Canis lupus familiaris: one gene and its partner. The protein of the gene in region 1 purifies or fractionates together with the protein of each later gene. This does not show direct contact. Links are inferred from orthologs where the notes say so. Each region holds a gene or a part of one and is shown on either strand. Other genes may lie near its edges.

What was found.
Region 2: the proteins of ASPH (region 1) and LRRC59 purify together in Homo sapiens (co-immunoprecipitation; 3 studies listed by BioGRID and IntAct, with this or other methods). This does not show direct contact. The link is inferred for Canis lupus familiaris from reciprocal best matches to the Homo sapiens genes ASPH and LRRC59.

Annotation. Positions count from the first base shown.
Region 1 is NC_049250.1:12,482,883-12,486,703, forward strand, and holds part of ASPH (aspartyl/asparaginyl beta-hydroxylase), read right to left. Parts: intron 409-3,821; coding exon 259-408; intron 1-258.
Region 2 is NC_049230.1:26,308,382-26,312,202, forward strand, and holds part of LRRC59 (leucine-rich repeat-containing protein 59), read right to left. Parts: intron 3,389-3,821; coding exon 3,230-3,388; intron 3,029-3,229; coding exon 2,924-3,028; intron 1-2,923.

The DNA of each region.
Region 1 (3,821 bases):
ATTTGATAAAACTTTTCTGTGTAATATATATACAATATAAAGCCTATTTTAAAAATTTTTACTACAGATTATGTTTGAAGAAGTTGAAAAGCCACTACTCCCAGGTAACCCTAATAACATTCTCTTTTGTTCCTACCCTATTGAGAACTGAAAGTCTACAGAAATTAAGAGTACCCCCAAAATAATAAATCTTAAGATTACTAAAGAATGTCCTTCATGCTTACAAATTCACCTAAGAAACGATACCAAAATTCTTACCTAAAACTTCTTCATAATCAACAAGATCAAACCAGACGACAGCTACTGATGTCCAGACTCCCAGTAATGCAATGACCATAAACCATGTGAAAAATGAACTTCCAGAAAGTCCTCCTTTCCTCCCATTTTTGTGTCCTCCATGCTTTGTCTCTGTTTAAAAATAAAACAGGTGAACAATGTCATTATGTAAACAAGTTCACTATGTAACTGAACACCTCTTTTTGCTGAATTATTTCTCCAGTAATTTGAAAGTACTTACAATGGTAAATCATTTCAAAAATAGTTTTCACTCAAGTTCTCAAAAGATGCTGCATTAAAAAAAAATTGAAACAAAAAAGATTCTGCTTAGACTCAACACCACATATATAAAACTCTGACTTAGAAGTAATGAGAAAAATAAACTACTCATTGGCTAACAATTTTTTTAAAAATGAAGGTTGATATAACATGTATATGTAATCTATAACCTTCCAAGTTCTTTATCCAAATCACCTACATATAACCTCTTCCAAAGTTCAGTGAATATCAACAACTTAATGAAGTCACATAGAAATGTCACAACCTTTTCTCTGACCCATTTGTCTCCAGAAATTAAAAAGCCGGTTAATGGCCAGAGAAATATCTCCCCACAAAATGACTCCATATTCTTAGCCAGAGAGAGAGACACAAGAAGGAAAGAAACTATTTATAGGAAATAGAGGCCAGGGAAGAAGAGAAACAAAACAGTACAACAATCAGCCCCCCTCCTTTACAAGATCCACCAGGGCCTGAGGAGGCAGGAGACAGGAAAAGGCTCATCATTCACAATCGGTCTCAATACAGGAAACAGCTCTGTATACTGTGGTCCACTGAGTGTCATTTATCACATTTGCTATTCTCCTGGAAATAGTCTTCTTACAGCCAAAAGTAAATAAAAATAATGATAGTCAAGTGATACTAATGGAAAGTCAACACTGCCCTTAAAAGAAAGGACCACAGTATTCAAATTTCTCTTGAAAAGGAACATAATAAATATTATTAAAAGGATAGGTATTATTCCCAAATAACCTCTGAGAAAAGGAAAAGTTTATCAACCGGGTAGTATAGCAGGACACGGTCTTCTCTTTGTTGAGCACGTGTCCTGTAGTTCAAAGTGCTTCCATGTGCACGGCTGCATGTGATTCTCACACAGGTCTGGCCAGTGTATCTCAAGAGGTTGTTTCTGAATGCCTATAAAGAACAATTCCTTATCCTGTGTAACTGTGCCTCACCCTGCAGGGCAACTGGCATCCCTGGTTACTCGGGTCCCAAAGGTAAGCAGCTCCCCAATTATGACAAACAAAAGTATCCCCAAACTTTTCCCAGTGTCCTCTCCAAGGTAGTGACTGGTTCAGAACCACTGGGGGTTAAGGACAGGAACAATCATCCCTGTTTTATAGAAAAAACATTAAATGATTTACTCCAACTCCCCAGCACAAGTTGGGTAGAGCTAGGAGCATTAACCCTAACTTCTATGGTCCTGAGTTCCTAGATCCATGTGAGTGGGCCAAATTACATGCCTTTAAAAAAGCTCACTAGCTCTAATCTAGAACCTGCTTTCTCACCCCTAAATCTAACTCTCATTATAGAATACTGGTGGTAGTATCCAGTGGCTCAAATCAAGGATATACAGCCAAATCTTCTGGGGAAAAAAAAAAGGAAATGAAAGTCTTACTAAAAAGATACACTTTTTTTTTTTTTAAACAACCACTAGATCAACTTTTCAAAAGGGGCCATAAAAACTAAATTGGTATGAAAGCAAGAGTGTGTGTGTGTGTGTGTGTGTGTACACATTCAAGTACATACATTTTTTATCTATATATCCATATTTAAGTATGTAAAATCATGACTATATAAGACAAATTTCATTCTTTTTTTTTTTTTTTTTTTTTAATTTATGATAGTCACAGAGAGAGAGAGAGGCAGAGACATAGGCAGAGGGAGAAGCAGGCTCCATGCACCGGGAGCCCGACGTGGGATTCGATCCCGGGTCTCCAGGATTGCGCCCTGGGCCAAAGGCAGGCGCCAAGCCGCTGCGCCGCCCAGGGATCCCAAGACAAATTTCATTCTTAATGAAAAAGTCAACTTCCTTTTCTAATGTTCTTTAAATATTAATAGGCCTATCAAAAAGGGCCAGATTTATAGTTATAGGGTGAATTCACAAAAGAATATTTACCAAATAACACATGACTATCTAATCTGCTTCTAATATAGTATAAAAAGTATTAAAAATCTCCAAAAAATAAATAAAATAAAAAATAAATAAAAATCTCCTAAAAGCTGGCTACATAAAATCAAATGTTTACATTAAAAAAATTCTTACAAGGCATAGATTGTAACATTACATGTTAAATTCAATTAAAACAGGCTTTACGGTTTCATTATCTGAACACAGTCATGGGGCAGCGAGACTAGATGAAAACTTCAGCAATGCTGATGGGGGAAAATGATGATTTCCCATACTTTTGTGTGTCTTAAGCATAAATATTATAAGAACAATATAGAGTATCATTAAAATTTTAAAAAATAAAAAAAGAGTAGACAGGAGTACCACAGATTCACTGCAATGTTGTATTTTACTTTATTAAAACTTCTGTGCACATGAAGACATTTTTCAATGCTGTATTTAAAAAAAATCTTTATTTCTGGGGTGCCTGGGGGGCATAGTCAATTAAACATCCAACTCCTGGGCAGCCCAGGGGGCTCAGCGCTTTAGCGCTGCCTTCGGCCCAGGGCATGATCCTGGAGTCCCGGGATCAAGTCCCACGTCAGGCTTCCTTCATGGAGCCTGTTTTCTCCCTCTGCCTGTGTCTCTACCTCCCTCCCACTCTCTCTCTCTCTCTCTCTCTCTCTTTCTCATGAATGAATAAATAAATAAAATCTTAAAAAAAAATAAACTTCCAATTCCTGATTTTGGCTCAGGAATTTTGGCTCTAGCATAGGGCTCTGCACTCAGCATGGAGTCTCCTTGAGATTCTCTCCCTCTCCCTCCACTGCCCTCTTACTCGTACTCACCCCTTCTCTCTCTTTCCATCAAATACATAAATATTAAAAAAAAAAAACAACCCTGATTTCTATATAGCATACAAATATATGCATACAAAACGGTTACACAGTGTACTGATTATAATAAGGAAAATGCCTTCTGGAATATCCATTTACCTCCAAATATGGATTTATTTATTTATGTTTATACATTTTATTTATTTATTCATGAGACACACAGAGAGAGATGCAGAGACACAGGCAGAGGGAGAAGCAAGTTCCTCGTAGGGAGCCCAATGTGGGACTCAATTCTGGGACCCTGCAATCACACCCTGTGCTGAAGGCAGCCACTCAACCACTGAGCCACCCAGGCATCTGGGTTCATAATTTAAAATGAGCTTGTAATGAAATAGCTAATGAACCAAAATAATTATTTGAATTCAAACTTTAATTCTATCTCCATATCTTTCTTTAAGCAGAAACAGAGAAGGAAACTTTCTTAGATTCTCAAAAGCAGAGACTTCATTTATCCAAGTTAATTCAGCAAATACTAAGTCACT
Region 2 (3,821 bases), on another chromosome or scaffold:
GCAAGTGACTTAACCTCCTGGGCTCCCTGCAAGAGCCTGCTTTGAAGCCACGAGGAACCCTGTCATGGGCCATCCAGGCCTTGAACCTGCTGCAACTTCTCGGAAGGGAGTCACCCTCACTAAACAATGGCCACTCAATAAAGGAGTGCAGGATCTGTTGGAAGGTCAAGCCTGATGGTGGGAGGTGGCCCCAGTTCAAAGTCCCTGTCTCACTCTGAACTCCAAATATTAAGCACCAACCATTCTGGTGGTTTTAAGGGGTGTACAGGTGGCTAAATAAAGAGCCCAGAGGCTTAAGAGACATCCCATTTCCTGTGCTCCAATGCATCAAGAGTTATCTGACAACACAGCAAGCTCAAAAATGGGAGCAATTCCTCTGCTCTGGACTGGGAGCCCCTGAAGGCCAATTCTTTCTGCCTATCCCAGTTCACAACACACAGTAAGCACTTGTTAAATACTGTCCAGCTAACAAGTTATTTCTTTTTTAAAATATTTTATGTTTTTTTTTAAGATTTTTATTTATTCATGAGAGACAGAAAGAAAGAAAGAGGCAGAGACACGGGCAGAGGGAGAAGCAGGGTCCATGCAAGGAGCTCGACATGGGACTCGATCCTGGGACTCCAGGATCACACCCTGGGCCGAAGGTGGCGCTAAACCGCTGAGCCACCTCGGCTGCCTGCCCATTCTTTTTATTTTTTAAGATTTTATTTATTTACTTATTTGACAAAGAGAGTGAGAGAGCACAAGCAGAGGGAGAGGGGGAAGCAGGCTCCCCACCGACAAGGAAGCCCAATGTGGGGCTTGATCCCAATACCCTGGGATCAATCATGACCTGAGCCGAAGGCAAACGCTTAACCCATTGAACCTCCCAGGTGACCCTAACAAGTTATTTTTAAAAGGTGCTGTACTGTGCACGAAGCTTATCAGTTACTGCAAATGACCCATGCACCAATACAAGGTCAGAGCTGTTGAGGGTTAAACTAACCCCAGGGGACAAGTGACCTCATTCTAGCCAGCCCAAGCCACTCCACTATGCCTCCTCAGTGTGCTACGGGAGGCCACACTAGGCTGAGGAACCAGGGAGCATGGCTTCAGTTACCATACCCACAATGCAGTGTCCTACCTAGTGCTCTGTCTGGAAGCTATATGCTATTGCTATCAATATATATAGCTATCAATATGCTATTGATCTTTGTGCTCAATAAAAATGATCTTTGTGGAGCATCAGCAATTTCATACAGTTTAGCATATTAGTTGAATGAATAAACGGATAAATGAAATCTGTGTGCACAGTGAGCGTTTATATCAGAGAAATGGAAGTGAGCTCTACTTCACAGGGTTATGAGGATCATGAGGTGAAGCATAAAGCATGCAGGACAAAGGAAGAGTGGTGGGTGACAGCTCCTGCTATTCTTCAGAACAGACATCACTCCTAAAGCACCAGGACTTCACTTATCACTTGTACTGTTCTCAGCTATAGGCCAGCTGTTGCCGTGGCTACCTGGCTGCCCAGACCTTGTACCTGGTCTCCTGTGACAATGGGTGAGATACATGATGAGACTTTCTAAGACGCCCTGAACTAATGAAAAGAAAGGCCATTATTCCTGAGATTCATCTAGAGACCCACCATGCCCACATTTCACTTCCAATAATTCTATCATTTAAAGTGAAAGGATTTCAAGTCCTTTCTGTTCATCATGCCTCCTAAATATGGCCAAGTAAGCCATCTGGTGCTCAGCTGTTCCAAAGCTGGAGGGAAAAAGTGACCGTAGCTGGCATCTGAGAGATGCTTAAGAATCAGTGCAAGGGAAAAAAAAAAAAAAGGAATCAGTGCAAGGCATGGGGCACCTGAGGGGCTTAATTGGTCAAGTGTCCAACTCTTGATTTCAGCTCAGGTCATGATCTCAGGGTTGTATAACTGAGCCTCGGCATGGCGCCTGCTTAGGGTTCTCTCCCTCTGCCTCTGTCCCTCGCTGCTCGTGCATGTTCTCTCTCTCAAAATAAAATATTTAGAGAGAGAGAGAGAGAGAGAGAGCAGCAGTGTGAGGCACCTTTAGGGCTGCCGATAATTTCTGCCTTCCATACTGCCTTTATTCCTCGCTCCTGCATCAGACGACTCGACTGAAATCACATGTCCCATCTGCCTAGGATATGTCTGCTTACAGGTATAAGCTTACAAATATTAACAAAACTTCTTTGTCATAATAACCATGACTCAGAAAGGCCACAGTCTCTAATCTTCTCGTCCCATTTAAAGAACTGTCAAGGGACGACTGGGTGGCTCAGCGGTTAAGTGTCTGTCTTCCGCTCAGGGCATGATCCTGGAGTCCTAGGATCGAGTCCCACATCAGGCTCCCTGCATGGAGCCTGATTCACCCTCTGCCTATGTCTCTGTGCCTCTCTCTCAATCTGTCTCTCATGAATAAATAAATAATCCTTTTTCTTAAAGATTTTATTCATTTATTCATGAAAGACACAGAAAGAGAAAGGCAGAGATGTAGGCAGAGGGAGAAGCAGGCTCCAGGCAGGGAGCCTGATGTGGGACTCAATCCTAAGACTGCAGGATCACACCCTGAGCCAGGGGCAGGTGCTTAACCGCTGAACCATTCAGGCGTCCCATAAACAATCTTTAAAAAAAGAAAGAACTGTCAATGGTGTAATGTTGGATTGATTAGGTAAGGTCCTGGTTTCTAGAAAATAAAAATTTTACAGTAGAGAAGCCAGTACCGTTCTGCTTCTTGTAAAGTAAACCCAGAGACAAAGGTCCCTCTGCCTGACAGGCTCAGAGTAGACATATTTCACTGAGACCTTAGTGCTGGAAACCTCTCCCAGCTCCAGGTGCCCTGGGAGGGAAAAGCAAGAGGAGGCAGACATGAGTCCCAGGGGACCATGCAGAGGGGATGCTGGGGAGCTCCGTGCATACCTTGTTAGCACACTGCTTACACTGCTTCTCATCCAGGCAATCCCCAGCCACTTTGGCCAGGGCAGGGTCCAGGGGGTTATCCTTTAGGTCCAACCACTTCAGGCTCTGAAGAGAGAAGACAGAGAGGCCGCTCAAGCCCAAGTTCACACACAGAGTCCCTCAAGGTAGACAAAATGAGCAGGAAGAAAGCCCCTGCATGTGCCAGCTGCAGGGAAAGCCATCCCTCTGAGGTGGCACCAACGAGAGGTCTTCCTGCCAGCCGCTCTCACAACCAGGCTCCACCCCCCTAGGACGAAACACTGTTACCTTGAGCTGAGCGAAGCTGACAGGCAGGGTCACCAGCCTGTTGTTGAGGAGATCCAGGTGCTGGAGGTTGACCAGACGGCCAAAGTCTGCCGGCAGTTGCTGCAGTTTATTCTTACTCAGGTCCAGCTTCACCAGGTGTGTGAGGCCACAAAATTCCGCCTAGGACCCAGAGGGACAACATTCAAGCCATGGGCTCACATCTCGGTATGATGATGCAGAAGCCTTCAAGGCAGAGGCAACTGCCTGTAAACCCTGACCCTACCTGCCATCCGCTCTTCCACCTTGATGGAGATGCAGCCAACACCCAGCACTTCTGCTGGTAAGTAGTGAGATGTGTACATACAAGGACTTAGCACAAAGTAGGCACAAGAATAAGTGTGTTCCCTCATGCTCTGTGCACGCCCCCAGGCAATCCTCCACATTGTTACAGGAGGCCCTGCCCGTCCCCCCACAGCACCCTATGTTCTCCTTTCACAGGAGTGGTCAAAGCACAGCATGACCATCCATTTCCCCAAAAAGATCAAGTGCCTCTCAAGTACTCTGTGGTATTCTCTGTTTTTTGCAGCACCTAGCACAGTACCGCTCTGCAGTG